4 linked regions of the Tamandua tetradactyla genome follow. The protein of the gene in region 2 interacts with the protein of the main gene of each other region in a pairwise test. Links are inferred from orthologs where the notes say so. Each region holds a gene or a part of one and is shown on either strand. Other genes may lie near its edges.

Region 1 (7,369 bases), on a different chromosome or scaffold from region 2:
GAGGATATAGGAATGAATGTGAGATAAAGCTTACAGATCTTTCAAGTCTAACTAGGAAGACAAAAATTTAAACAAGTATATTATAATAAAACGATGAGTATTTGAATAGATAAGTATAATGTGCTATATGAGGGTACCTAAATGGAGTATTTAGTCTTTCGGCTAAGATTCAAAGGATGAATAGAAATCAACATGGCCGGGGGTTTAAGGAAGAGTGAGTGTTCCAGGGAAAGGCCAAGAGTGAGAGAGCACATTCCAGGAAATGAAAAACAGGACAATGTGGCTGGAACACCTCAGAGATAAAGCTGAAAAGGTCAGCAAGTTTCATTCTGCTTTCTGAGTCACTTAAAGGATTCAGAACTTTAGCCTAAGGGTCTTTGAAGGGTTTTAAACAAAGGAATGACACAATCAAATGTGCATTTTAGAAAAACCCAACTAATAATCAACAATAGTTACAGCGTGCCAACTGGATCAAAGTAGCACAGTAGGCTTAAGGACAATATACAGACGAGAAAATCTGGAGTCTCCATGAACCTTCAAGGACTTTAGAAATGTTAGAATAGCTCAAGGCAGAATAAATGCATCTATACCCTAAGGGACAGAGGTGAGCAGAGGTAAAGTGAAAAAGAATCCTAGGGTCTTAAAAGATGAGGTGGGTTTCAGATGGGGGAGGGGTCACATGCCTCCTTAGCCATTCAAAAGAAAAAGTGACTGAAAAGCAATCTGGAAAAGCAGATTTGGGCTATAAAGGGAAGGGTCTGAATATCTGGCTAAGAAGTTTGAAATTTGTCCATAGAGGGGAGTTAGAGTCACAGAAAATGTCTAAGCAAATGAGCATACTCAGGTGATAGTATGATGAATAAATGAGGAGAAAAGACTGGACAACCCATAGGCGCTTTTCTAGTTCTCCAAGTGTTGCCAATGTAAATTAGCAATGAGGATCAAGAGGAACAGATCTGGCAGTTATTACAAAACAAAACAAGGTAGAACTGAAGTGACTGTCTGTATATTTGAGGTAGAAAAAACAGGTTTTATCCAAGATGACAGAACATTAGTTGAGATGGTCTGGAATAAGTAGGCTATAAACTGGGAATTATAAATTCCACTATTACAAACACAATTCCTCTACAGCATTATTATCACAAAACAGTGCTTCTCAAACATGGCTGGCAGACAGGTATTGACTGTTTATTATCCAAAGTGCACGAAAAATGAGAGTAAACATTTATAAATTTTTGTAAAAATTTGACAGGAATTTTAGATTATTATTATTAGATTTATATTGTCTTTTTTACTCCATTTTTCTAGTAATTCATTTTTACAGCACTTTACAAAAATATGTATCTGCTAAAGATTGAAAATTAAAAAAAGAACAAAAAACCAGAGATGGTCCTTTACCACAGACAACTTGAGGCATACTGTCAGAGTATTTAGACTGCTTCTTAAACTACCTAGGAAATTAACTGTACCTTTGTGAACACATAATGAAAAACAAATACAAATCTGAATATGGACTGATATTCGAGGTTATGTACTGATTGCCAATTTTTTAAGGCGTAAGAATACCACTCTAATTATGCAGAAGAATGAATATTCTTAGGAGCTATATGCTGATGTATTTAGGGGTAAAGTATGTGATGGCCATGATTTACTGAATGGTTCAGCAAAAGAAAAAGACACACAGCAGGCATCACATACACATACAGCTAGAGCAAATATGGCCAAATGTTAACAATGGTTGAATTTAAGGGATGGGTATATGGATGATGATATTAGACTTTCAACTTTTCATAGTATGATGTTAAAAAAAATTTTTAAAAATAAATAGCATAAAAAAAAAAGCAAAGTCTTACATACCCCAAAGTCACCAAGTCAGTATCATCTGGGATGACTTCTGGATCCCCGTCTTCCTCAAGACACTTCAGTTTATCAAGGCTTAAAAAAAAAAAAACCAGAAAGGATAAACAATCACTTTAAGACTGACTATAGGAAGTCAGGGTTATGTCCTAAATATATAAATGAATAACAAAGATATCAGATAAAATCCATCAGGCGGTTCAGAGCAGAGGCCAAATCAAGGAAATGATTTTTATGCCGATACTCAGTAATGAAAGGATATATGACCGATGGAAAGCAGTCAATACTTTCATATGGCGAAAGACCGTTAAAAGTTATTGTTGTGTTTTCACCCCCTAATAAGGTACTTAAAAAAAAAAAATGAGTAACGGCAGAGCCGCAGGCCTCCAAAAGATACAAGAATTAATCAAGGTTTTAACACTCCTCGGATTAGGTCTTCTTCAGCTTCACCATTGCTCAGGTTCCTTCATTATCAAACTGTCAATGGCAGGTACACTTCGTTGTCCCCAGTTTTTCTTTATTAAGAAGCATTTTAAAAATTAGCTAATAGAAAAATTAATCTTTTATGCAGCTCTCTCGCTCCTTCACCCCAACTCGCAGATATTGTACGTTGGAATCACAGGACCTTTCTGGGTGAGTCTAACCAGACGCTCCGGCCGACTGAAATCTTCTAAAACAGCGGTCCTCCTACTCCAGGGGTCTGAACCTTCCCAGGGGTGGATCCGAGTAAGATTGCACCCCACCTGGCCCCTAAACAGCAAAATGCCCTGGGCCCTAACTCACCCACAAACAGCTCTCAGCTCGGCCGCCGCTGCAAGGCTGCAGCCCAGATCCCGGGCCACCACGACGTCCTCTCGGCCAGAGTCTGCGCCCCCTCGGCGCCCCGGCATAGACGCCGGCGGCTCCTTCAGCGACAAGTCCCCGGCCCCGCGCAGCCGGCCGCGCCATAACTCCCCGAAGGCGCCCACGTGGAAGACACGAGTGTTAAGCTCGGGAACCTCGTACTCTGGAAAGTTGAAGCCGCCACTACTGGGGACAGGATCCTGCCTGCCGTTCACCCCACTGCACGTTTGGATGCTCCTATTGCCCTCAGCCATGTTGGCTAAGCTCCCTTCCCTGCAAAAGCTGGGCAATAAGGATCTCGCGGAGCATGATGGGACTTGTAGTTTCGCATGGCTGCTGGTGGGCGAGTGTCGACGCAGCATGCCTCTGGCATCAGACACTACATTTCCCGACAACCTGCGGGTCGAGCCTATGCGCTGGGCTGAACGCATTGTTCTCGGCGATGGGCGGTGTAGGCCCCCGGCGTGGCTTTTCGCCTCTTGGGACCGGGCGGGTGGGGCTGAGCAGCCTAGGGGGCGATTCCTTGTGTTCGGTGCTGTGGCCTCACCAAACACTTTGGCCCTACTCTTTGTTTTTATTGGCAGCCCTGTTGCTTTCCTGTGGGTTCAGGGACTTTTCCTCGATTCCGGGGTTTCCGGGTTACGCTGCTGTGTCCGTGCCACAGAGACTGAGAGACAAGAGGAATGAAGGCTGAGCGAGGGCCGAGATACGAACATCCCTCCAGATCTGGTTCCTTTAGAATTTACCCAAAGGCCCCAAGTTGCTATGTACATATATATATTTATGCGTTACTGTACACACGCACAAGTGTTTAAAACTGAATTGAAACACAATCGCTAGCTTCAGATGGAGCTTTCTCCATCTCTCAGAGGCCCCAAAGAATGTAAGTAGCAAGACACACAGAAGGAGCCTGATTTTCTTCTTATTGTTACCTTGGGGGGAGGGCCAAGGGTAACAGTTTAACTGCGATACTTTCAAATACCACACAATTCACCCATTTAAAGTGTTCAATTTTTCCTCTACTCAGAATTGTGCGAATGTCACCACAATCAATTTTAGAATATTTTCATCAACAGCATAAAGAAACTCTGTCCTTGAGCTAAAATGGCCTAATGGCCCCATTTCTCCCCAGCCCCAAGCAACTACTAATCTACTTTCTGTCTCTATAGATTTACCAATTCTGGACCATAATATAAAGAAATCATGTAATGTGGGGCCTTTTGTGACTGGCAGAGGGAATAATCAAAGAGATAATGGCAGAAAACTTCCGAAATGTAACAAAAGACTTGAGTGCACACACTTAAGAATCACAGTGAAGCCTAAACAGGGTAAACTCAGACACCCAAGCTGAGAACTATAGTAATCAAATTGTCCAATGCCAAGGACAAGGAGAAAGTTCCAAAATCTGAAAGGAAAATTACATACACGCGAATCCCAATAAGTGCCAATTTCTCACTAGAAACCATTGTGGAAAAACACATCAGAATGAAATATTTAAAGTGCTGAAAAGAACACAATTGCCAATGAGGAATTTTGTATTTGGCAAGACTTCAAAATGAGGGAGAGCAGCCAAGGTGACAAGCAAACTCATTGCCCTCGCCCTCTCTACGTGGGACATGACTCCCAGGGGTATAAACCTTCTTAGCAATGTGGGACAGAAATCCTAGAATGAGCTGTGACTCAGCATCAAGGGACTGATAAAACTTTCTAGACCATAAGGGGGAAGCGAGAAATGAGACAAAATAGTGTCAATGGCTGAGAGATTTCAAACAGAGTTGAGAGGTTATCCTGGAGGTTATTCTTATGCATTATACAGATATCACCTTTTTAGTTAAGGTATAATGGAGAGGCTGGAGGAAAGTGCCTGAAAATGTAGAGCTGTGTTCCAGTAGCCATATTGCTTGAAGATGATTGTATAACGGTATAGCTTTCGCAATGTGACTATGTGATTGTGAAAACCTTGTGTCTAATGCTCCTTTTATCTATGGCATGGACAGATGAGTTAAGCATATGGATTAAAAATAAATAAATAATAGGGGGAACAAATGTTAAAATAAATTTAGTGGATTATTATGGTAGTGATCAATGAAAGGGAGTGATAAGAGGTATAGAAAAAATAGGTGAAACAAAGGCTAAAATATATTAAGCACATGGAAATACTAGCAATCAATGAGAGAGAGGGGTAAGGGGTATGGTATATTTAATTTTTTTTTTCTTTTTACTTTTTATTTCTTTTCTGAATTGATGCAAATGTTCTAAGAAAGGATCATGGTGATGAATATACAACTATGTGACGATATTGTAAATTATTGATTATATACCAAGAATGGAATGATCATATGGTAAGAATGTTAGTTTTTATATGTTATGTTTAAAAAAAATTTTTTTTTTAAATGAGGGAGAGGGTATGCAAAGGTGGTTCAGTGGTAGAATTCTCGCCTACCATGTGGGAGACCTGGGTTTGATTCCCAGCCCATGCACTTCCCAAAACAAAGAAACCAACAACAACAGCAACAACAAAAATTCAACAAACGGTTCTGCAATAACGGGATAGTCACATGGAAAAAGAATGAAATGCGACCCTACCATACAGCATACAAAAAAAAAAAAGAAAGAAAGAGAGATTAGGACATTTCCAGATAAAGAAAAGGTGATGTAGTTCATTACCACTAGATTTATCCTAAAGACAATGCTAAAGGGAGTTCTTCAGATTGAAATGAAAGTACATTAGTCAGTGATCAAAATGACGTTAACATATAAAGAGCTATGGTAAAGGTAGCATATGGGTAATTATGCATATCAGTACTACTGTACTTTTTAGTATGTAACTCCAGTTACTTCTTACAAGTGCTAAAATGCAAATGTATACAAAGTAATGATAAATCTATTGTTTTGGATATACAATGTATAAATATATATTTTGCAACAAGTATAAAAGAGGTGGGGGTGCGGAAGGGTATAAGATCAATGTATGAAGTTCCATCAGTGTATTGAAGTTAAGTTGGTATGAAGTCAAATATGATTATTAATAATTTAAGAGGTTAAATTTTAGCCCCATGGTACCCACAAAGAAAATATATGAAAATATATTCAGAAAGAAATGAGAAGGCACTCAATATGGTATAATACAAGAAAGCAAATAAATTTAAGAGTAGGCCTTAACAGAAGTGAGGGACAAAAAATGTATAAGGCTTATGAAGACAAAATAGCAATATGGTAGGTGAACTCCTGCATTATTAGTGGTTACCTTAAATATAAATGAGTTAAACTTTTCAGTCAAAAGCAGAGATTGGCAGAATGGATGAAAAAAAAGCATCACCCAACTACATCCTGTTTACAAGAAGCTCACTTTAAATTCAAAGACATAAGTAGGTTGAAAGTGGAGGAATGGAAAAATATATACTGTACAAGTAGCAACCAAAAATGATATGGGCTAACTACACTACTATCAGATAAAGCAGATTTTAAATAAAAAATTGCTACAAGGGACAGACAAATAAGGTCATTATATACTGCTAAAGGGGTCAAGAAGACATAACAGTTTTAACTATATATGCGCATAACAGCAGAGACCCACAATACATGAAGCAAACGTTGACAGACTTGAAGGGACAAATAGATGGCTCTACATTAATAGTAGGAGAATTCAGTACACCACTTTCAATAATAGATAGAGCATCTAGACAGTAGATCAATAAGGAAATAGAAGACTTGAATGATATTCTAAACCAACTAGACCTAAAAGACATATATGAAAAACTTCACCAAATAGCAGCAGAATACACATTTTTCTCTAGTGTACATGGATCATTCTCCAGGATAGACCATTTTATAGATCACACAACAAGTCTATATTGTTTATTTCAAAACAATAAATTAAAAAGTTTTGAAATCATGCAATATATCTTCCTTAACCACAATGGAATGAAGCTAGATATCAAAAATAGAGGAAGAAGTGGAAATTCACAAATATGTGGAAATGAAACAACATGCTTTTAAACAACCAATGGATCAAGGAAAAAATCACAAGGGAGATTAGGAAATATTTTGAGGCAAATGAAAATACAACACATAAAAACTTATGTGATGCAGTAAAGTCAGTGCTGAAAGGTAAATTTATAGCTCTCAGTACCAACATTAAAAAAGAAGAAGGGCAACAAATCAGAGATTTTTTTTTTTTTTATTAACGGAGAGAAAGAAAAAAAAAGAAATTAACACAACATTTAGAAATCATACCGTTCTACATATGCACTCAGTAATTCTTAACATCATCACATAGATGCATGATCATCGTTTCTTAGTACATTTGCATCGGTTTAGAGGAACTAGCAACACAACAGAAAAAGATATAAAATGTTAATATAGAGAAAAGAAATAAAAGTAGTAATAATAGTAAAAAAAAAAAAAAAAACCCTATAGCTCAGATGCAGCTTCATTCAGTGTTTTAACATGATTACTTTACAATTAGGTATTATTGTGCTGTCCGTTTTTGAGTTTTTGTATCTAGTCCTGTTGCACAGTCTGTATCCCTTCAGCTCCAATTACCCATTATCTTACCCTGTTTCTAACTCCTGCTGGACTCTGTTACCAATGACATATTCCAAGTTTATTCTCGAATGTCCGTTCACATCAGTGGGACCATACAGTATTTGTCCTTTAGTTTTTGGCT
Region 2 (7,296 bases):
ATCAGCTGGTGTTTAAAATGAGAGAGCTCAACGTAGCACAGCCCAAGCAGCTCAGCATACCTCATCTCAGCACTCGCAGCTCAGCCCAGGCCTTTGGAGATGCAGAAAGGAATCACCCAGGGGAAAGTTGTTGGAACCCAGAGGCCTGGAGAGAAGGCCAGCAGAGATCACCCTGTGCCTTCCCACATAAGAAAGAACCTGAGTTGAAAGTTAGCTGCCTTTCCTCTGAAGAACGACACGTTTTTCACGAAATAAATCCCCTTTCATTAGCAGCCAATTCATCTCTGGTGTGTTGCATTCCGGCAGCTAGCAAACTAGAACCCCAGCCCTGACACTTTCTGGCTGCGGGACTTGGGTTGGCACTTCCCCTCTCTTTGCTTCAATTTCCACACCTACTCCATGAGGGTAACATCTAGGCCTTGGGCTTAGAAATTTCCTGGGTCAATATTTGTACCTGACAGTTTGTACTGCAACCATGTTGGTTAAATAAATAGGAGGAATCTGGGAACTATGGGAAGAGAGATAGAAAAACCAACAGCCAGAAGACAAACAGGTGGGGGGGGGGGGATAGAGGATGATGGGAAAGATAAGAAGTGGGAAAAGAAGGAAACTGAGTCATCTGAAGACAACGTTAGGGGCCAAACGGAAGGATGGGGCAGGGAGATAGAAGCAAAGCCCAGGGATAGGAAGTTGTCTCATGGCATCAGTTGCCACCACTTTGTCATGTTCCTGTCCTCTCTGTCAATAGAGACACAGAGATGTACATATGTACGTACATAGAGATCTATGTACTGTATTTGTAGTTGCTCAATATGTATTTGTAGAAGGGATAAGGGACGCAGAAAGGACAAAGTAGCAACCGCCATCTCTTTAAACCCTTACAACAACGTGAGGAGGAAGATACAGCCCAGAGAGGGTGAGTCACTTGCTCAAAGTTGCCCAGCTGACAAGGGAGATGCCAGGCCAGCCAGGTCACCTCTCTGAGCCCCGGTTTACCACACTGAGGCATTCCTACAAAGGCCAGTCATGAAGTCAGTGGTAATTTCCCTTCGAAGCCACCTTACCAAGTCCTATAAACCATGCACCACGGGGCAGCCTTGCTGTCATCAGCTAAGAGAAAGGCCATGGGCCTCACTTCACAGATGGGCAGACTGAAGCTACAAGGCAGGGAGCAGCTACAGTGGTGATGGAATGTAAGTGGGGCAGGCTCAAGGCTGGGTCTCATTCAGTACTCACACCAACCCTATAAGGAAACACTTATGATTATTACTATTGTCCTCATTGTAGAGATATGGAAACTGAGGCACAGAGAAGTGAAGACACGGGCCTGGGGGCACACAGCAGGGATGAACACAGCCAGGATTTGCGTCCAGGCCTGGGGAATCCCATAGCTGCATTGTTCTACCAGCATGGATAGAGAGAAGGAGGGGCAGGGAAAGGGGAAACAGAGGCACAGGAGGCGATAGAAGGGCGGCAGGTTGGCTGGCACTGGGGAAGGCCCAACCTCACAACTCACGGTGGCCAGCGTTGTTAACCACACAGTCCAGGCGGCCAAAGCGGCAGATGGTCTCGCCAACCAGGGTCTGTGGGGAAAGGTGTCCTGTGAGAGGCCGGGGGCCAGGGAGCTCCCCACAGCTGGCGGTGAGGGGGCGCCAGGGCTGTCAGATACCAACGGACTGTTCAACGCAGACTTCCATCGTCAGTCCAGGGACAAAAAGGAGGGGACGGAAACCCAGGGAGAGGGGGCAGAGACCCAGAGAGAGGGGTGGGGGAGGAAACATTGTTACGGAATTCCTTCACTGTGAGGGACTTAGTCACTTCCACGCAGCTGATAACTGTGATAAGAGCCCTGGAGAAGACGGAAATAAAAGAGAACTTTCCAGAGAGACATCAGCAGAATCAGTGGAGCCTGGAGGGGCAAATGACATTGGGCTGATGCCTTGGGGAATTTAATGAGGAGAGGAGGGAAGGAAGAGGAGACAGCTTTGCCACAGCCTCAGCCTCGTGGAGAAAGACATGAAAATGAGATGGTAGCCGCTAGCGACAGGAAGCAGGGGCAGGAATCAGGCTTACCGCCATGTCTTCCTCCCGAGTCACATCACAGCGAATAAATACAGTTCCAGGCAGCTCCTGCTCCAGGGCCCGGCCACAGGACTCTGCAGGGAGACCCCCCGGGTCTGAGGGAGAAGGGGCTGGGGGACCCGGGGGTCTGAGGGAGGGAGGAAGGCTGGGGCAAGGGCGGAGGGTCCCTCACCATCCTTGTCACAGATGACCACTTGGGCTCCACTCTCCACTGAGAATAGAAAAGTCAACTGATTACCTGCCTGTACCTTGGCAATGGCCTCTGCTGCTCCCCTGAGGCCACCTGCAGTGGGGCAGAACCCCCCCCCACCCCCGTGTGTTTTCCTCGTGATCCCAAAGGACAAAGGGCAGAGGCCCTAGCATGGCGAGGCCTTGGCTCCTTTCCTCCACCCCTGGGTTCCAGAGTAAACCCCAAGGCTGGGCAACCCATCTTCCCCGAGCCACCCATTTGTAGCTACCATAACTGAGACCCCGAGAAGGGCCAACTAACTTTTGAACACCCCGCCAAAACCTCTGGCCCCAGGCGACCGCCGGCACCCTGTCCTTAGCCATGGAGACTGGATGCGGGTCCTCAGGCCGGGCTTGGAGGCCCCCTTCCCACACCTTTAGCCCCAGGCCCCAAAAGCCCACGAGCCCCCAACTCACCAAAGGCCCGCACGACCCCCGCGCCGATGCCGCGCGCGCCCCCGCTCACCACCACCACCTTCCCCGCGTAGCGCGCGCCCGCGGCCATCCCGGCCCAACTGTCCGTCTCGCTGCGTCCCTCGCTCTGTCCCTCACTCTGGGCCCCCTTCCAACCCCAGAATCCGGGGAGGAGCTGGGGGGCGTCGGGTCAAGTGCTAAACAGGGGCTGGATCCGCGCGGGCCGGCCTCGGGGGCGGTGCCGGAAAGGTGGAAACCCGGAAGTGCGACCCCAGCCCCTCCCCCTCAGACCCGGGGGTCCGGGCCCCCAGAACCTCCCCCTCAGACCCAGGGGTCCCGGCCTCCAGCTTTGCTTTCCAGACACTCCTGCGCCAAACCCCCAAAAAGATAGAAAGAAAACTGTTGACCAAAAGTTCAAAGTTTTATTCCGAATTTGGTCAGTGCTGAGAAAACCAGACTCCGGGTGCAGAGCCCGCCCCCCTTCCCGGCCACACCACAGCGGGGGGACCAGGCCGCGCCCCCCACCCCACGATTGGCTGGGGCGTCCCGGGGCTCAGAAGCTCGACTGCAGCAGAGTGACCCGCAGAGGCCACGCCCCCTCAGCCGCCGCCAGGGCGGGGGGCGCGGCCTCGCCTGCCCACGTGGGCTCCCAGGGGGCGGGGCCTCCGCCGCGCCCACCACCCCGCCGCCTGGACCCCGCCGGGCGGGAAGTCGCCGCGGGAGGAGAGCTTGGGGGAGACATCAGCCGCGGCGTGGGGTCCGACGGCGGCGGCGGGGATGGAAGAGGTTCTCCCGGACCATCCAGGTTTCCACCTGGAGGGGACGGGTGGGGAACGAGAATGGCAAACCTTACGACCCAGGAGTCCCGGCCCCAGCCCCTCCGCCCCCAGACCCCCAAGTCCAGGCCCCCCCAGCCCCTCCTCCCTTACACTCGGGGGTCTCTCCAGCTCCACCACTGCCTGGGACCTAGGACTCTCAAGATCCGGCCATATCCTCACCCAGACAACATTCCCCGCAGCCCCCTCCTCGATAGGACCTAGGATTCCAGGCCTCCCACTCCCTGTTCCCTAAATCCCAGGGGTCCCAGCCCCCAGCGCGTCACCTGTCATCATTTTGTGCCACTGTGACGCCTCAGTGGCCAGGGCTTGAGACAGGCTGAGGACCCGCTCCCGGTGACCTTCGGACGTGGGCAAGTATGGGGTGGTGTTCCTCGGACTAGGAAAAAGGGGAGATTTGGGGGTGCGTGTCCAACTCGCCGCTGTGGTGGGAGCGGAAGTTCCCCGCGGGTGCTTCACTAGATGTGTCTCTGCAGGTCCTTAACTGGGCGCGTCCCACGCGTGGGTTAGGGGATTTCTAAGCCAGGCGTCCGAAACTGAAGCCGATTTCCTCTAAGGAGGGGCAAGGTGGGAAATCCACCCACGGAGTTTGGACAAGTTTGCAGCTCTCACCGGAGAGCCAGGGCTTTCTGATTTTCTCTCAGAAACTTCTGCGTCTTTAATAGATTCTGCCACCTGTATGTCAGTACTCGGGAGAATTTCATCTTAATGACAGGCCACTGAATTGTATACTTGCCAGTGGTTAAAATGGGAAATGTCATTTTGCATGTTTCCACAATAAAAATAATTTTAAAATAGTAATGATGGTACTCCCTTCCCCTTTGGCAAATTAATTTCCCTGCTCCCTTGCCGCCACCATCCACTCCTCACCTACTCCAGGACCCCGAGCTTCTGAGCCATTTCGAGGCTCCCGACTGTCCCAGGGAGTCTAGGCCAGGCTGGGAAGGAATCGGGTCGTTAGAATTATCCTTACGTGGAAAATCGGGGCCGGCTTTTTAAAATTATAATTTATTGTGTTTTTTTTTTGTTTTTGCAGCCCTGGAAAAGAGGTGAGTTAAGGTGGCCCCCATCCACTCCTGTTCCTGGAAACAGCTCCCTTCCCCACAGGACTTAGCTAGAACTCCTAGTGACCCCCCCTACTGCCCCTCCAAATCCCCATCCTTTATTTCGTAAACGATCCGCTGAACTGTTTCTGCCCCCCAAAGCTAGCTAGATACAGAGATAACCATTTCCTGTTTAGCTGAAGGATTGACAGCTGTGGAATCACTTCCCCTATAACTTGTCTTCACATCCCTATAAAAGTCTAAAGTTAAACCACCCTGCCGATGGAGCCCCTCCCATCTTTGGATCTGGGGTGCTCTCCCTATTGCAACAGCCCAAATAAAATCAATTTCCTAATTTGGATGATTTTCTTTTTTCTCCCTTTGACAACTCATAGCAGCTGAGAAGAAAAGCTGGGCTTGGAATCCAGACCGGAGACCCCCACCTTGAAGGGGGAATGTGGTTTAGGTGGAGCTGTTATTTCAGTCTCCTCCCCACTTTCACTCCACCGAGGGGAGCCAGAAGGCAGACTTTAGCACGGGTACAAGTTGGGGTGAATCTGGAAGCCCAGTTCTGGCTAGGGGGGTAGGGAGCATTCCCATTCTACAGAGAGGGAAACTGTGGCTCAGAGCAGACACAGAGGCACCCACGATCACCCCACTCCCCACTGCCCCACCCCGTTCCCCTCACCCTTTGCTCCACATCAGGCTGGCGTCTGGCTGGGGACAGCGTCCTCCCCAGGGTGAGGAGCCGGGGCGAGGTGGGGCGAGGGCTGGGCCGTCCACGCTCCTGGTGTCTCCGCATGCGCTCCAGCTGCTCCTGGGCACTCATGCGGGGTCGGGCGAGGGGGCCCTGGGGAGGCGAGCAATGCCCAGAGATGCGGCTGCCCCTCCTCCGCTCACAGCCCTCCCGTGGCTCCCCAGGACCCCCACAACCAAAACGAGGGGAGAGGGCTTATTGGCTAACTAAATTATCAGGACAGCTTTGGGGACCTGCCTTGAGATGACTGGACGAGCTCATGCTTGCCCTCAGTGTTTCCTTCATTCTCAAAACAGGAGGGAAGAGCACTGGTTGCTGCTGTCTGCAAGGAGGGCGTCCCAGCTTATCCCCTACTGGTGTGACGTGGCCAGCCCCCAATCCCATGGGCTTGGAGAGAAGAGAGGGGCAGTTCCCCAAATGTAACCAAGAAGTTAGGATTGAAGGGATGATTGTGGTTACTGAATTTATATTATATAGATACTCCTTTTTACTTTCTGGCATTTTAGAGCAGACAAAGGGAAATACCTGAAATCTTTGAATTGTAAAGCAGCTGCCTTGATCTCTGATAATGTGCCCCTGTGATCATAAACAACCTGATGACTAACCTTCACTTGTACCCGTTTATCTAATTTTTTTACTTTAGAGTTTTGTGATCACTAAAGAGAGCCCCTAAAGTTTATTAATGAAAGGTCTTGGGTCAGCCCAGAACTAACCCACCCCAAGCCCAAGGTTATTTCGATAACGGAGACTGGATCTACCCCAAATGGGCCTGCCCGACATTGCACAGTAATTTAGACTTTAACCCATTTGTGGCCTATGCCTCATTATAATACTAAAAATCACGCCCATCAGTATATGAAGATCACCATTTTTTATATAAGTTCTGTGGGTAAGCATGTAATCAGTCTGCACATGCTCAATAATTAGATCATCTCTAACCCCATCATCTTGAGCCATTTGTGCTCATCATCCGAAAACCTGCCCGTCCTTTGGTACTCTAACACTATCAGAATTACTGCAGTTCAGAGAGACAGATTTTTAGGTCAGTTAGGTCATCTGCTCTCCTGATACGTGCCTAGCAATAAACTCTTTTTCTCTTAGAAACCCCAATGTCTCAGGAATTGGCCATTTGCACACAAGGGCAAAAGAACCCACAAACTTTGTCCCGTAACACAAATAAGCGTTGTTCAGAGCCACCCCGACAATTCACGTCCATTGAGACCATTGAGAATGAAAGAATTTCTGTATGTTTAGGAAAGGACTGATTGCTCTGTCTCCACGATAAGACACCGCGGGAAATGATTTTTCAATCTGTTTCACCCAGAAATCACATCCGACCCTGACCACGCCTCTGAATGCCAGCCAATCAGGGGGCCACACATGCCTCAGAATACCAGCCAATCAGGAGTAAACACATGCTTTGTCAGCCAACCAATCAGGGCCATCTACGTTGTTGAACGCCAGCCAATCAGGAACAGACACAGCTTGTACACCTTAAGGCCAATCTTGTTCCCAAGCCTTCTGCCCCCGGAAGTCCATCTAACCTTGTGTCCCACGTGACAGGAGTTTGCCTCTCTGTTTTGCTCAAGAAAATTAATAAATTGAGTGATTTGTTTCCAATACTGAGAGATGGCCTCCTGGTCATCGCCTCCTCGCCTCTGCCAGGAACATACGTTTTCTGCATGGGCAAACCTTTTCTCTCATCCAGCTCAACTGTCCTTTGAAAATTTCACAGTGCCAGGGTCTGGCTGCCATACACCCACGCCTGGCTGATATGCAGGAGGATGCTACTTGTGCCTCTGTTCCCCGTGGAACTCAAGCACCAGGTCTCGGAATCATTGTTGAGCGAATAAAGGGATTCTGGCTTTCTTCTGACAGTGGCCACATCTCAGAGTTTAGGGGGAAAGACAAAGGGGGCAGCTCCTTGGCCCTGGTT
Region 3 (6,529 bases), on a different chromosome or scaffold from region 2:
GCGGCCGTACCGCGCGGCGAACGCCGCGTTCACCCGCAACGGCGACGCCGCGCGCGGGCCCGGCATGGCGGTCGGCAGCCCAATGCGCACGCGCGTGGCGGGGCGCAGGAAGGGGGCTGGGTCGCGCTCGGCCCCGCCCCCCGCGCCGTTTAAAGGACGCGCCCGCTCCGGCCCCGCCCCCGGCTATTTCCGGGATTCCCCACCCCTCCCCGCCCCTTGCCGAAGGCCCCACCCCTACGGGGAAGGACGCGGCCGCCGCCCACGCCCGCCCCGGAGCTCCGGGCACCCAGCTGACATCTGGGGGCCCTTTCTCCACTCGCGGTTTCCTGCCTCCCTTCCGTTCCGACAGTGCAAACCGCGGCCCCACCCAGCTCCCGCCCCATCCCTGGTGCCCTGGGAATTATCGCTGTCACCCCTTCCCCGAAGCCTCCGGGCGATCGGCGACCGGCCCCCCACCCCGATCCTACCCCCTCACTGGACGCGCGATTCCCCACACCAGACTCGGAAATCAGAAGCTCAAGTTTTAATTTGAGATCATGCTCAAGTCTTAATTTAATGGATAAAAACATTAAATTATCACACGCAACATTTTCTTTCATAAAGCTTAATAAATAGAATTTTTTTTTAAACACTGTACAGGACACTGGAAAACAGGCCCCCAACACAATATAAATGAACCTCCTGCCACCCTTCTACTGATCTGGAACACTCCCCCCTCCCCAATGGCCAAAGCAGGGAGCATACTTCAGGGCTCTCTCTGGGCACAGGTGGCTCAGACCTGGCCGCAGCCTCACTCAGGGGCTGGTCCACAGCGCCGCCAGCCCGGGGCGCGGAGGAAACAACCGTTTAGGTAGCTGTTGTATGTAGGAGCCCCTCTCTGTCCAACACACCAAAGGGGGTGAGAAAAACCAACGAGAAATGCCCCCCCAAAAAACACACACCCCAGAAATCAACAACAAGCCACAAACTGGTGCCCCTCCCCGTTCAGTACTGGAGGAGAGGAGTGAGGGGAGAAGGTATCTCTTCCCTCCTCTTTCCCTAGGAACCCGTTGGGCTCCTGTGGTTGGAGCCGGCCTCCCGGAGTCACAGTGGGGTCACGGAGTGGCCCTGCAGGATGTCCGTGATCTCCTGAGACCCCCTCTGCCGCGCCAGCTCCATGGGCGTGAGGCCCCCGGCGTCCCGGTGACGGAGATCGGACTCGGCTGCCAGGAAGTGGACCACAGCTGCGTGGCCCTCCCTCACGGCCAGATGGATGGGGAGGGATCCGGTGGCGTCGGGTGCGTTGACATCGGCGCCGTGGTCCACTAGGACCTTCAGGGTGTCCAGGAATCCTGTGCGGGCTGCGTCGTGGGCTGGCGTGGTGCCGGAGGCGTCCTGGACATTGGGGCTGGCTCCTTGCTTCAGCAGCTCCAGGGCAATAGTGGGGCTGCCGAACATCATGACCTGTGTGAGGGCAAAGGGTCAGGGGGGCCCGGAGAAACACCAGGAGCACGAGGCCCCTGGGACTTGTTTGAGACCCCTGGAAAAAAAGGACTTCTGGGGGTCCAAGACATCCTCCCCCAGGGGGTAGCCCCACACCCCCGACACTTTCAGGGAGCCTAAGTCCCTCCCCCAAGGAACCAGAGCTCCCATCTCCCCCAAAATGGGAAATCACCAGGAAATATGAAACCTCTCCCAGAAGATGGGCCCCCAGAGAATGGGGACAGCCCCCCAAAGTATTTGGTGGCTCCCTCAAAGGGAACGGGATGCTCAAAGGGAACGGGATGCTCACTGGGGGATTGAAAACCACTTCTCCAGGGAATACTTCCCAGATAATGAGGTGCTCTCCAGAATACCTGAGACACCCCCCCCCATAAAATGCTCCCCAGGGAGTTAGGGACACTCATGCAGTCTGAAATTGTTTTCCCACTGGGACTCCCTTCCCCACATGACCTACCAGGGAACCTGCACACCACCCAGTAAAGTGAGATTCTCCAAGTAACCGGAGACCTCTCTGAGAACCCCCAGGAAGCATGAAACCCTTTTTCCAAGGACCCCGGCCCCACCCCCATTGCACGGAGAACCCCAAGAAACCTGAACCATCCTCATGAAACCCGGATCCTAAGTATCAGGTCCTCCCGACTGGGAAAACTGAACCCCCCGCCCCCCGGAAACCAGGGACTCCCCCTCCTCCCCCCAACCTCACCCCATCCACCATCCTCCCGCGAAAGGCGACCTCGGCGAACATCGTCGGGGCAGAGAAGGGGAGCCGGTCCCCAGTCCGGCCCCTCCGGGCCCAGGGGAGCGGAGGGGAGGGCTCGGGGTCCCGGTCCGCAGCCGCGCCCCTCCCCCGCCGCGGGCCCGCCGGCCTCACCTGCAGCGCCGTCTTGCCGAAGCGGTTCAGGGCGTCGGGATGCACCAGCTCGCGGTGCAGAAGGCGGCGCACCTCCTGCACGTCGCCGCGGGCCGCGGCCCCGCTGAGCCGGTCGCCTGCGCGGACCTCCTCCAGCAGCATGTCGACACCGGCGGCCTGCGGGACCCCCCGCGGTCCCCCCAGCAGCGCGTCAGTGCGGGCGAGGCCGCCGACCGAAAAGCCCTCCCAGCTCGAGCGGCCGGGCCCGGCCCCGGCCCGGCCGTCCTAGGGGGCGCCCCGGGGCGACCTCCGCCCTCCCAGCCCGGCTCCTCCCCGCCCCGTCAGCCGGCCGCCGGCGAGGGGCCGCGAGCCGGGCCCAGCCCTCCGCCGCCCGCCCCTTGGGGGCCGGGTCCCCCCAGCTCACCCTCCCTCCTCCGCGACGGGCGGGGTCTGTTCTGCGCCGCCGCCGCCGCCGCCGCCGCCGCGCCCGCCACGGGGGGCGGAGCCAGGCCCAGGCACCGCCCCTCGAGCGCGCCCATTTGTCGTCCTACCAACTCGTTACATTGTAGCCAGGCACCGCCTGCCCGGCGCGTGACCCTCTCCTTGCTCCGCCCACGAGGCCCGCGCAACCAATAGCCGCGCGTCGCCGGGGCGGCTTCGAGGGCTCCTGATTGGCCCGGACGCGGCGACCGGTGGGCCGCCGGCCCTGGCGGGGTTTTCGGTTTTCAAACGCGCGCGGCGGGCGGGAAGGCGGGCGGGTTTAACCGACCCGGGGGAGCGAGGCCCGGGCAGAGGAGGGAGGGAAGCAGGGCGGGGGCCGCCCAGTCCAGAATTCCGCTCCGTTGCCCCGCGATCAGCGTGCGTTGGCCCTTCCCATGCGCTGAGCGCTTGGGTTTCATTCATTCACCGCAGTCCGTGCAGGCGCTGTTCCGGGGCGCGCATTCCAACACTGGAACCAAATCGTTTCAGCCTGCAAGCGTGCAAACATTTACCGAGCTCCTGCCGTGCACTGTCGCCCAAATGGGCCCTGCGCATGGGGGAAAGGGCAATAACGCAGTCTTCTCTGAGTGGTGAAAGCTGGGAAGCTGATAAAACAGGACAAATAAGTGGTGGTTCCTTGGGAAAGGAAGAGCGTTGAAACAGGGAGGTCACGGAGGGCTTCCCAGAGAAGGTGACGTTTCTCTAGCGGCCTCCCTCTAGGGAGGGAGCCATGTGGCTTTCTCGGAAAAGGCATCCCCAGGCCGAGAGAACGACCGACGGGAGCGAGTCTGGCACGTGCAGGAACAGCGAAGTGGGGAAAGTGGGCGAAGGGGAGAGCCAGGAGGCGGCAGGGCAGATCAGGGCTTGTGGGCTGCGGCGAGGACTTGACTTTTACTTTTACCCGGGTGGGAACCGTGGGAGGATTCGGCGCAGAGGAGCGTGATCTGACTTAGGCGGTCTGTGGCGATCATGGGATTGGGGAGGGGAACACACTCCGGAAGGGGGGGGAACTGCGGGACCCGCGAACCCGCGTGGAAACTGCGGCACTGGTCCCCGGCAGCAGGCGGGTGGGGGAGCTCGGGTGTGTATGTCAGCTGCCCACTTCCCATCTCAATGTCCCGGGGCCGTTCTTGGCAGCCCAGTCCCTACTCCACCCCTACCCCACCCACCGCCCAGGAAGTACACCGGCAGTGGCTAGACACCTTTTAAAAATTTTTTTGGTAGACTCTTTTTTAATGACATCCTAAAATTCAGAGGAATGGGCCAGCGGGGCCTCTGGGCTCAGCAGCTGATGGAGGGGCTCCCGACACCCCCTAAGGCAGGTCACTGAAAGAAGGCACTCGTGAGGGGGGGGTGTCGAGCCCCTTCCCTATTTCTTCATATAAAATCGGGGGTCACCCCAAGCATTGGGGGGCAGGGAGAACATCCCTGCCAGCCCATGGGTAAAGGAAGGGGGCCAGGTACTGGGATCAAAAAACTGCCAAGTCAGGGGCCTGCCCTCACCGTCCTGCCCCTTCCCCTCTGGGCTCTCCCTCCCTCTAAAATTTCCAGCCTGGAGAGGGGGAGGCCCCCCTCCCCCTCTCCAATATCCAAGCCCCATCATCTCTTCTCCTTCTAGGTGGTCCGAAGTTGATAATCTGCAGGAAACAGGAAATGATGGGCAGAGACCATCTCAGAATTTGGGAGGGGGGGAGACAGAGAGGCAGCCCCCAATTCCATTCCCTGCCCCAGCGCTCCTGAGCCAAAACTACCCCACCCCTCTGTGTGTCACCAGGCCAAGCATGGAGCCAAAGGCAGGAAGGGTAACCATGCCTGTCTCCTGGAAACGGATGAGATGCTGTGTACCCAGCCCTTGGCCTGCTCCCCACGGCCCCCCAGGGCAGCAGTTGCTGCTGTTTTGAAGGTGGGCAAGGCCGGGTGGCTGGGTGACAAGGAGGGGCAGGCCTGTTGGGTTTGGGAGTGCTTCTGAGCCAGATGATGGTCAGGGTCCCCCCATCTCTTTGACCCCACTCCCCCCCACCCCCGCAGGGCGCGAGGCTGCCTTACCACCACTCTGGGTGATGTAGCGTACCCAGGGCAGGGCCTGGTAGCCGCTTTTCTCAATGATCTTCATGTATCGGACCTGGAAGGGAAGAGGAAAAGAGTTGGCAGTGGCTAAGAGGATGGGGAGGGACAGCTTGTGGGAGAGGGAGAGAGAGAAATGAACAAGCTGTGTGTGTGTGTGTGAGAGAGAGAGAGAGAGTGTGTGTATAGGGGGGAGTAGTTGGGACAGGCTAAAGGGAGAGGCAGAGGAGAGGGGACCCAGGCAGAGAGCGGGGGGAGGCATGGCAGGCAGGGGAGAGGTGACTCCAGCCAGGGAATGGGAGGTGGCCTGGGTCAAGAAGCAGGACAGAGGGGGACCTGCCGGCATGGAGGAGAGGCAGCTTCCTGCCCACACCCCACCTGGATCCCAGAGACCGTGAAGTAGGGGATCTCGAACTTGACCCCGATGGGGGGCCGGCCCTCCACCTCTTCCTTCTCCACGCTGGGGAGGCCGAAGTGGGCCCGCATCAGGTACTCCTTGCCGCCCTGCGGGCACACGAGGACATGAGACAGTCCGGGGGCCTCCCCCACGCTCCCAGTCCCACTCCCCATGGAAACGATGCTTGGAGCAGGGGTGTCTTCTGGGCCATTTTACAGACAAGGAACCAAAGGCCCCTGGCCGAGACTCAAAACCACTGCTTCTGAGCCCCCCAAACCTTATCGGGGACCATGACACCCCAGATGTGCTGGGGACAGGCCAAGTCCTCCAGTGGCTTGAGGGGGGAGGGGGGTGTTACACTCCTGCTTCACAGCTGGGCAAACTGAGGTTCCACGGGGAAGGGCGGGGGTAGGGGATGTGGGTTTCTCAATCCCACCAGCTCCGAGAGGCAAGGGCCTGGGATTCGAACCCAGAGCTGGGTTTCCTTGAGATGCACCAGGCTGGCCTGGTTTCCACCTTTGGCACCCCTAAAGGACGACGGTGCGTGTGGGGCCCCATGATTCTCTTCTTTGGGGTCAGGTACCCCCACCCCCACCCCAGAATCCCCGCCTGCGCCCAGTGCTAACCGGGAAGGATTTGATGCTCCAGATCACAACATTCTTCTCCGGCACGTATTTGGCGCTGCCCACGCTGGTCTTGAAGCGCGGGGAGTCAGCATCACTGGGGACAGGCACCGAGACCTCCACGCTGTTAGCCACCGACTGCTTCTTAAACTGTCCCTTGGCCTGTCGGGGGTGGCGGGGAGAGTGTGGGGCACCGGGGACTCACTCCTGCGTCCAGTCAGCATTCGCCAAGCCCTTCACGCACCACCCAGCCTGAGTTTGGGGTGGGGGAGGCATTATTTTGCCCCTTTGACAAATGAGGAAACCGAGGCACAGAGAAGGTAAGGCATCCACCCCAAGACGCCCAGCCCATAAGGGGCACGGTTGCTTCTGGACTCTGGAGGTTCGGCTCTTAGCACTTTCCATTGGGACGGTGCCAACCACCTTTGCCTGGTTCAAAAATAACACCGCTCCAAAAATGGGTCCATCAAAAAGGAGTTTTTGTTTGAAGCTGGACTCTCCTGGGCCCCTCCTGTGTGCCCGCTTCTGAGTCGAACACCCATTCACTAAGGTAAGAATCATCCCCAAGGCCCATTTTACAAGTGAGGAAACTGAGGCACAGAGAGAAAGAGCACTTTGCCCATTCTAAGCCAG
Region 4 (7,377 bases), on a different chromosome or scaffold from region 2:
GGATGCTTGTTCTCACGTCGGCTCCTGGGGCATCTGGATGGTTCCCGGTTCATTTCCGAGACGCCATCACGTGGCCCGTGAATGGGGGCTTATGACAGAAAGCAGAGGGTGGGGACCAAAAGACCCCATCACAACGGGGCGAGGGTTCAAGCCCTTAGGGTCTGTGCCATGGTTCATTTCTGCATCTCCAGGGGTCTGTGCATAGTAGGTACTCAGTAAATGTGCACCGAGAAATGAATTAATTCATCCGTACCCTGCTGCCCCACACCACAGGCTGGCACAGGGCTGGGCACACATGGGGGATGCGGTGATATTTTCTCTCCTGTTTCATTAAATCCCCAGTGCCTAGAACCGGTCAGGCACTTACGAGGCATTCGGGAAACACTGATGGATGAACAGCGATTGAAGGAATAAACGCGTGACCAGATAAATCGCTTAATTAGCTAAAAAATTAATGAGGGATAATGAGTCCCTGTCTGCTGACCCAAATTACACTGTGTAAGAAACTCCTTCGGAGAAATCAAGTCTCTCCAGTTACCCTTAGCGGGTAGGAAAAGGGTGTTTTCTGGGTAATTACATATCTCGATTGCTAACATTAGCACATCACAGCGACCAAATGTCCCCGAATTTTCAGCACTGCGCAATTTCAAAGATGCCGCCCCACAAGCACTTCATGTTATCAGGAGCTTCTCACACACCAGCGACCGAAGAAGGGTTTCGAACCGCCTCTCCCGCCCCCAAACGGCACCGCAGCACTTTTACAGAGCACTGTCCATCTGGGAGTTTGTAAACCGTGGTCACCATGTGCCTACCCTCTGGATGACTGATAGCTGAAGACACGGGATACCACAAAAGCATGCTCAAATGAAAACTATCTATGGCTTGGAGTCTAAGTATTTTCTGTTCATGTTTCCCCAGGAAGGTGAGTAAGGGACCGCGTTGATTCCTGTGTGTTTCTCCCAGAGGCCAGCACGGAGGCTGGTCCTAAAGTGGTGCTCGGCAGCTTCGTGCTGACGCGCCGTGAAAACTGGGCACGAGTCTTACTCATCAGTGACCCCAGCGCCCAGTCCAGCACTCTCTGAGCCTGTCACCCCTCAGGACAAACCGCAGAATGCTTCCCAAATGCTGCCCTGTCACCATCAGGCTGGCTCTAAGGCGGTCCCCACCCTTGTTACAGTCTCTGCCCAGACAAAAACCCAGTCCTCATTTCCTCTTCGGCTAGCTGAGGAGGAGGTTGGCATTTAAAACAAACACAAAGGCCACTGAAATTCCTGGGGGAAGCAAACAAAGGAAATGCACACACAGACACAGGGCTGGGAATGCCAAGTCCACACTTGTGATTCCGCTGTAACCAAATGCAGCCGGGCTCACCGGACCCATCAAACCCAGGGTGTGGGATCCCTCTCCCCGGCTCCCTGTCTGCCTGCCGTGTGGTGCCCAGTGGTCCCGCCATCTGGACACCCACCCCGGTGGCCCGCCAAGACCATACCAGCTGGAGAACTATTCTCTCTTTCAATCCTGGGATTCCCTGTTTGCTGGACCAGTTCATTTGCCAAACAGAGGTGGCTTGGAAGGATTAGCCCCTTGCCTTCTCAAAGCAATTATACAAAAGATGTATTCTTTAAACAAAAAGCATGCTCCACACAAAAATGCAGCTTTAAGATATGAACCCTGGTACCCATTCCCCAAGCCCCTCCATAGACATTCAGCAGCTACTTCTGCAGAAAAGCAGCAAAGGAAGGAGACCCATATAACTCTGGCATGTGCAAGCCCTTCTGGGTTACGTTTTGGCAACCAAGTTCCTCCTACTTGGAGCAATTTGCAGTTGAGTCCTTTCTCTAGAAACTTCCTCTTCATCGAGGAGGGTCAGTTGGGTGCAACCCAGTTACTCAATGAACAGTAGGAGGAGGGAGGAGGGTGGAGGGGCCGTTGCTGCCAGCAAAGCCTGCTAACTGATTAGTTAACTCCATATAAACATTCTCCAAGGATCCTGCCACTTGCCCACATAAAACTTCCCATTTGCCCAATAAATACTGAGCACCTACTGTATGCCAAGCATGATCTGGGCACATTTCAAGTCCCTGTCCTCAGGAAGCTTACTTTCAGTCTGGGAGGCCAATAACACATATATGATGTCAGGGAAAGGTAAGCGCCATGAAGAAAACTAAAGCCTACCCAGGGAATAGAGAGTGAAGGGACAAGAGGGGCTGACTAATAGGGAGAGGATGACAGCGTCTCTCTGGAGAAGTGATGTTGCAGAGCCTTGCATGAAGTCTAGAAGAAAGTCATGTGAATATCAGGGGAAAAGAATTTCAGAAAAAGGGGATGGTAAGTGCAAAGGTCCTGAGGTGGAGTATGTTTGGTATGTCTGAGGAAAGGAAAGGCAGCTAGAGTTGTTGGCACAGAGTGAGCCAGGGGGAAACTACTGAGAAGTGAAGCTGGAGAAGCAGCAGGGCCCCACCTCTTAAAGACCAAACCTTGCCCAGAGCCTGAGGGCCTCAGCAGCCTCCCCTCCTGCCGATCGCCGGTGTTTTTTGTGGCTGAGCCTCCCTGGCCCTTTCTCAGGCACCAGATAAACAATTGACGCTCCCAGCAATGGTACCTTCCCACATGCTATTCCTTCCGGCCACCTGGGAGGTCCTCTTCCAGGTGTGCGACTGGCCATCCCCTGTGCTAGCTCCTGGCCTAATCGGTCCTTCCGGAGGTCCTTCCAGCCGCTGCCCTCCTCTGCCAGACCCGCACGCTGCAGGTTTCCTCACAGCACTTACGCTGAAGGCAATTAAGCACCACGAACCCTGGACTCTGCATCTGTTTCCTCGTCTATAAATCGGGCATGACAGTTCCTACCCCACAGAACCGCCGGGAGGATGAAGGGCGTGAATCCATGGAAAGGGGTCAGAATAGCACCTGGCACCTGGTACCCACGGAGGAGCTGCTGAAGGGACTAAAGGCTGACGAGGCAGCAGGAGGTTCCTGGCTTCACAGTGTCCCAGGCCTGTCCGCAGCGCAGGGCCCTCGTCCTGAACCCCGTGCCCTGTCCCACACCTCCCCACTCACCCACTCACCCTGCACCCCAGCCCTCTCAGGCCTCCCAGCTTCCAAACGCCCTGCCTGGGACACGCCCGTGCCCTCTCCCTGCCCAGCACACCTCACATCTCCCTCTAGGCTGGCTCAGATGCCCCTCACTCTTGGAAGCCATGCCCCCCCCCCCGTTTCCCCAGAGACGACTGCTGCAAATTGTTCACAAACACCTCCGAGGTGGGCATGACCCAAACTCTGTTCCCACCCAGCAGGGAGAGGCCAAGGCACAGCTTTGCCGGCTCCCGACACAAAGCCAGACCCAAAACGTTGGAACACATTTCATGAATGAATGAATGAACGAACGAACAAACGCGTATGTGATGCGCCACATTCCAGCCAGCACAGGCGTGTCTGGTTAACCAACTGGAGTCCACTCGGCCTGAAGGACCAGCGTGGCAGGACTCCAACCACAAGGCACACAGGCCTTGCCGCCGCCTCTCTCTGGGCCTCAGTATCTCCACGTGTAAACGGAGAGGCTTTCATACTTTTCTTTTTTTAGGCATCAGAACCTTTTCTTAAATTAACTCCTATGCAAAACCTCCTTATGTAAAACAGGTAACAGGAGAAGCACTTGGCCGTATTCGTAGGGGCCTTGCAGGGAAGACTGTGACCCCAGGCCCCATTCTTTTCAGATTTCTCATCGTCAAGTTTGATTTTTAAGGCAAATCATGCCGAACTGTGCCTGAGAATCAAGGGCCACGAGCCTGGGGTCACTCCTGCGTTTTTCCAGACACATTCGCCCGGCGGGGGAGGGGGAGACACTGGATTCTGAGCCCCCCCGGAGCCTCCGGCGCCCTCTCCCCAGTACACCAACCGGGGCGGGGTCTCAGGTGCGATACCCGTCTAAAGAGCCGGGCACAGTTCCAGCAGGGGCTGCCGCAGGAAGGGCGGCCCCTTCCGAAGGCCAAGGATCTCTCTTCTCTTCCTCGGGGAAAACCAGCCGGTTGAGGGAACCCCAAATGACTCAGGAGGGGGCGCAGGGCACACACAGACCCCCTCAGGCCTGGCCGATGGGGGCTCCTGGGGGAAGGGAGTCTCGTGCTCACTTCTGACCAGGAATTGGCTGCCCCGTCGCCCGAGTCTGTGACAGCCGCTGCTGTCAGCACAGACCACGGATGGGGCCAACGCTGTGTAAATAATTAACAAAACACCTGCCTCGCTTAATAAAACACCACGGCTGGCGCAGCTCTCGTGGCCTCCCGAGACTCTCCCAACTCCGAGAGGCGGCACCAAAAACGTCTGAAGGCTCGCTTTCCTCACCACGTGGGGCTGGGAGGGGAGGAAAGCACAATACCTGTTTCCTGAGACACCTCAGGGCCATCCTGACATGTAAATCTTGCCTCTCTCCAACCTGTCTCCTTCCACCCCATTTGGGAGTCATGGGCATAGAAAAGAGCTTCAGCAGCACCCGGCTGGGGGCGGGGCGGGGCGGGCACCAACACCTCCTCTCAGCCCTGGGCAAGGGCACTGCAAACCCTCGGGGCACATTCTTCCTGCCTGTGTGACTCTGGGCAAGTCCTTGGTAATTAAAACCTCCAGGGGTGACCCTCAAGCGCCTCCCAGGTGCCACCCACATGTTGAGCACTTCCTGAGCATTATTTTCATTGCATTCTCCCCCAAGTCTTAGCAGGTCATCATCCCAACCCTGTTTTCCAGATGAGGGGAGTGAGGCCCAGAGAGCTAAAGTGACTTGCTCAGAAATGTCAGGTCTGGAACTCAAAGCTTGTCTTCAAGCTTTGATTGTGGTTGCGAGTCCTCCCCTCTCTGGGCCTCAGTTTCCATTTGGCCGAGAATCTGTCCAACTCCCATAGCCTGTCCATCCCAGTCCGCTGAAATGCCACGGGTCCCTCTCGAGCCCAGTGCTCCTGGAGCATGCTCTCCTCTGCACTGACAGCCTACTGAGTTCCCCGTTGGCAGCAGGCATGATCAGGGCTGAAGAGCCTTTTAAAGTATTATCTACTTGCAGATCACTTCCCAATAATTCCCAGTTTCAAAGACCTTGTGGACAATCAGGGACGAAAGAGGGCAGGCTCTGGGGAAAGGCAGCGTGAACAATCCCAGCCCTGCTGCTCGCCCGCAGGGACGTTATATCTGAGAGACTAACCTCGGCACCTCAGCTACGACTTGGGCACAGGGGAGTTCTTCAATGGATTTCTGTTCCTTGGGGTCGAGCATTGCCCCCCCTTCCTCACAGCACCCCCTGCCCCCCACCCCCAGCCTCAGGGTCCAACAACGAGGGTAAAATGCAGCACTGCAGGCTCCCAGCAGCTACTCCCCTCCCCTCCCTTGTCAGAATTCCTTCACACTCTATGGAATTCTTGCATAAAGCCCTCTTTCTCTTTTTCTATGAGGTCACCATCACGCAGATGTCTAAAAGAAAGAACGGCTCCATGTGAATCAAGACAGTTGGAACCGAATGCATTTCGGATCACGGCCAGTCGCGCCACCTTTCAACTCCAATCACCTCCCCTCATTCACCTCCCATATGGAGTCAGCTCGGGGGGTGAGCCGGGTTTCGTGGGATGCTAGGATCCTACCAGTGGATGCCAAGGAGGCTTGGCTAGAAGTCTGGTGCCTTTGCAACCAGACCACCCGAGAAGGCGCCTGTGGAAAAATCCAGAATTGGAGACAACAGTGCCAGCCTGGAACTAACCTGGGGCCTGTGTATGTGGGTCTGTTTCCATACAAGCAAATCCCATTAGAGAGACAGATGTCAAAATGCTAGATCACATTCCAATTTCAAGTTCCCCTATTTAACGTCACAGGAAATTACACCATCGACTGATCTGCCCCAAAGTCGGCTTCTCTGTCTGGGAGTCAAGCCTGAGATCGCCACTTCTCAGGTTTGGCCAAAGGAAGACACTGAGCGGTGTGGGCGCCACTCAACTCAGATGGCAAGGGGTGAAGTCACTGGCCTAATTTTCTCTTTTTAAGCTAAATTTTCCCAAAAAGCTATCTTGCCACTACCCAAAAGTCGGAAATGAAAAGATAGCCACAAATCAAGGAGCCACTAAGGCCCCCACAGTCTGCCCCTGGTTGGCGGCCAAGTCTAACTACCCACTGCCCGCTCATTTTAAAGCAATTTCACAGACACCCAGGAGGCACCTAGACCACCCCAATGACTGCCTTCTCTCCAAGAAGCACCCTTGCTCCCAGAGCTCTGTGTTCCCACTGCTGCCAGATACGATGGCCTAGGAAAGTTCTGTATGGCATGTGTGCACTACTTCCTAAGAATGATGTCAGCAAAAAAAAAAAAAAAAAAAAAAACCGATAAAAATGTGGAAGCAAGGACTATTTTTACCACCCCAAATCACAGACCAGACGGAAGAGAAATCCATCAATGCCAGAAATGTGGCTGAGCCTTTGCACAAGATCTATTATTTCACACCTTAAATTAACGCATCTCAAAGCAATTTGCAAATGTTCATCAATTTGCAGAACATGCTTGGAAGGGAGAGAAATACCTTTTCCTTTCAACACCAAAGGAAACTTGCAGAGGCACAACACAACCCAAACCACACAGGTGCTCACACACAAACACAAGCATTCCTTTCAAGTTCAGTGAAGTATAAACCGTGATCTAAATGGAAACATGAATAAAAGAGACAGTTATCCGACTGAAATGACAAGTGACAAGAGGCCTATGTAAAAATGATCATGTTTTCAGCTACTCAGATTTGAGCATCAGACCCTTTGGAGAGAACTTTTATCCTCGGGGTCAGAACTCTGGGCCCTTCCTCTGAGCAGTGTTTGCTTTCACCACACACACAAACCTAGAGGAGCCAACCTCTACTTGAGCCCAGATGGCCCATCTGGGGACTCCTCTCTCCACCCTCTAAGGTCTTTGCTTGTCCTGTCCCAAGAAAAGGAAGGGAATATTTTTCTCTTTTTGACAATTGTTTTGACACTTCCCTTATGAAACGGATCCTTGGCACACTGAAAGGAAATAAAAATGTAAACCACAGCCCTTTCTAGCTGATAGCTCTGGCCTGGTCATCTGTACCAGAGGTCTAAGAGTGGACAAGGAAGGAGAGCAGCGCCTTCGGGAGGGGGCAATCAGCCCTGTAGAGACCTGGCATGCCTTAACCCATTTGGCTTTTCAGCACAGGAGAGGTGAAAGGCTGGACAAATACAGCCAGACTTGGTTTGAGGTTAAGAATCTCAACTCTGGGGCGGGCCACGATGGCTCAACAGGCAGAGTTCTCGCCTGCCATGCCAGAGACCCGGGTTAGATTCCCGGTGTCTGCCCATGCCAAAAAAAAAACAACAACAAGAATCTCACCTCTGGAGCCAAGG

What was found.
Region 1: the proteins of HSD17B14 (region 2) and SNAPC3 interact in binary tests that used the Homo sapiens proteins (3 or more experiments, as listed by UniProt). The two-hybrid records come from large-scale screens. The link is inferred for Tamandua tetradactyla from reciprocal best matches to the Homo sapiens genes HSD17B14 and SNAPC3.
Region 3: the proteins of HSD17B14 (region 2) and CDKN2D interact in binary tests that used the Homo sapiens proteins (3 or more experiments, as listed by UniProt). The two-hybrid records come from large-scale screens. The link is inferred for Tamandua tetradactyla from reciprocal best matches to the Homo sapiens genes HSD17B14 and CDKN2D.
Region 4: the proteins of HSD17B14 (region 2) and NEK6 interact in binary tests that used the Homo sapiens proteins (3 or more experiments, as listed by UniProt). The two-hybrid records come from large-scale screens. The link is inferred for Tamandua tetradactyla from reciprocal best matches to the Homo sapiens genes HSD17B14 and NEK6.

Annotation. Positions count from the first base shown.
Region 1 is NC_135328.1:82,052,238-82,059,606, forward strand, and holds the start of SNAPC3 (snRNA-activating protein complex subunit 3), read right to left. Parts: upstream 3,004-7,369; 5' UTR 2,955-3,003; coding exon 2,641-2,954; intron 1,936-2,640; coding exon 1,858-1,935; intron 1-1,857.
Region 2 is NC_135342.1:12,212,925-12,220,220, reverse strand, and holds the start of HSD17B14 (L-fucose dehydrogenase), read right to left. Parts: upstream 3,005-7,296; 5' UTR 2,816-3,004; coding exon 2,728-2,815; intron 2,294-2,727; coding exon 2,255-2,293; intron 2,178-2,254; coding exon 2,074-2,177; intron 1,584-2,073; coding exon 1,517-1,583; intron 1-1,516. Other genes in the region: PLEKHA4 (pleckstrin homology domain-containing family A member 4), read right to left, coding at 3,278-3,537, 3,827-3,939, 4,431-4,498, 5,292-5,453. UniProt on the Homo sapiens protein: Catalyzes the NAD(+)-dependent oxidation of L-fucose, yielding L-fucono-1,5-lactone, which rapidly converts spontaneously to L-fucone-1,4-lactone. Can also act on D-arabinose and L-galactose, with lower catalytic efficiency. Does not use NADPH.
Region 3 is NC_135337.1:91,278,828-91,285,356, reverse strand, and holds CDKN2D (cyclin-dependent kinase 4 inhibitor D), read right to left. Parts: upstream 2,671-6,529; 5' UTR 2,495-2,670; coding exon 2,354-2,494; intron 1,444-2,353; coding exon 1,084-1,443; 3' UTR 504-1,083; downstream 1-503. Other genes in the region: protein KRI1 homolog, read right to left, coding at 1-66; AP1M2 (AP-1 complex subunit mu-2), read right to left, coding at 4,427-4,449, 4,859-4,934, 5,255-5,380, 5,900-6,058. UniProt on the Homo sapiens protein: Interacts strongly with CDK4 and CDK6 and inhibits them.
Region 4 is NC_135328.1:46,339,707-46,347,083, reverse strand, and holds the start of NEK6 (serine/threonine-protein kinase Nek6), read right to left. Parts: upstream 3,003-7,377; 5' UTR 2,613-3,002; coding exon 2,603-2,612; intron 1-2,602. UniProt on the Homo sapiens protein: Protein kinase which plays an important role in mitotic cell cycle progression. Required for chromosome segregation at metaphase-anaphase transition, robust mitotic spindle formation and cytokinesis.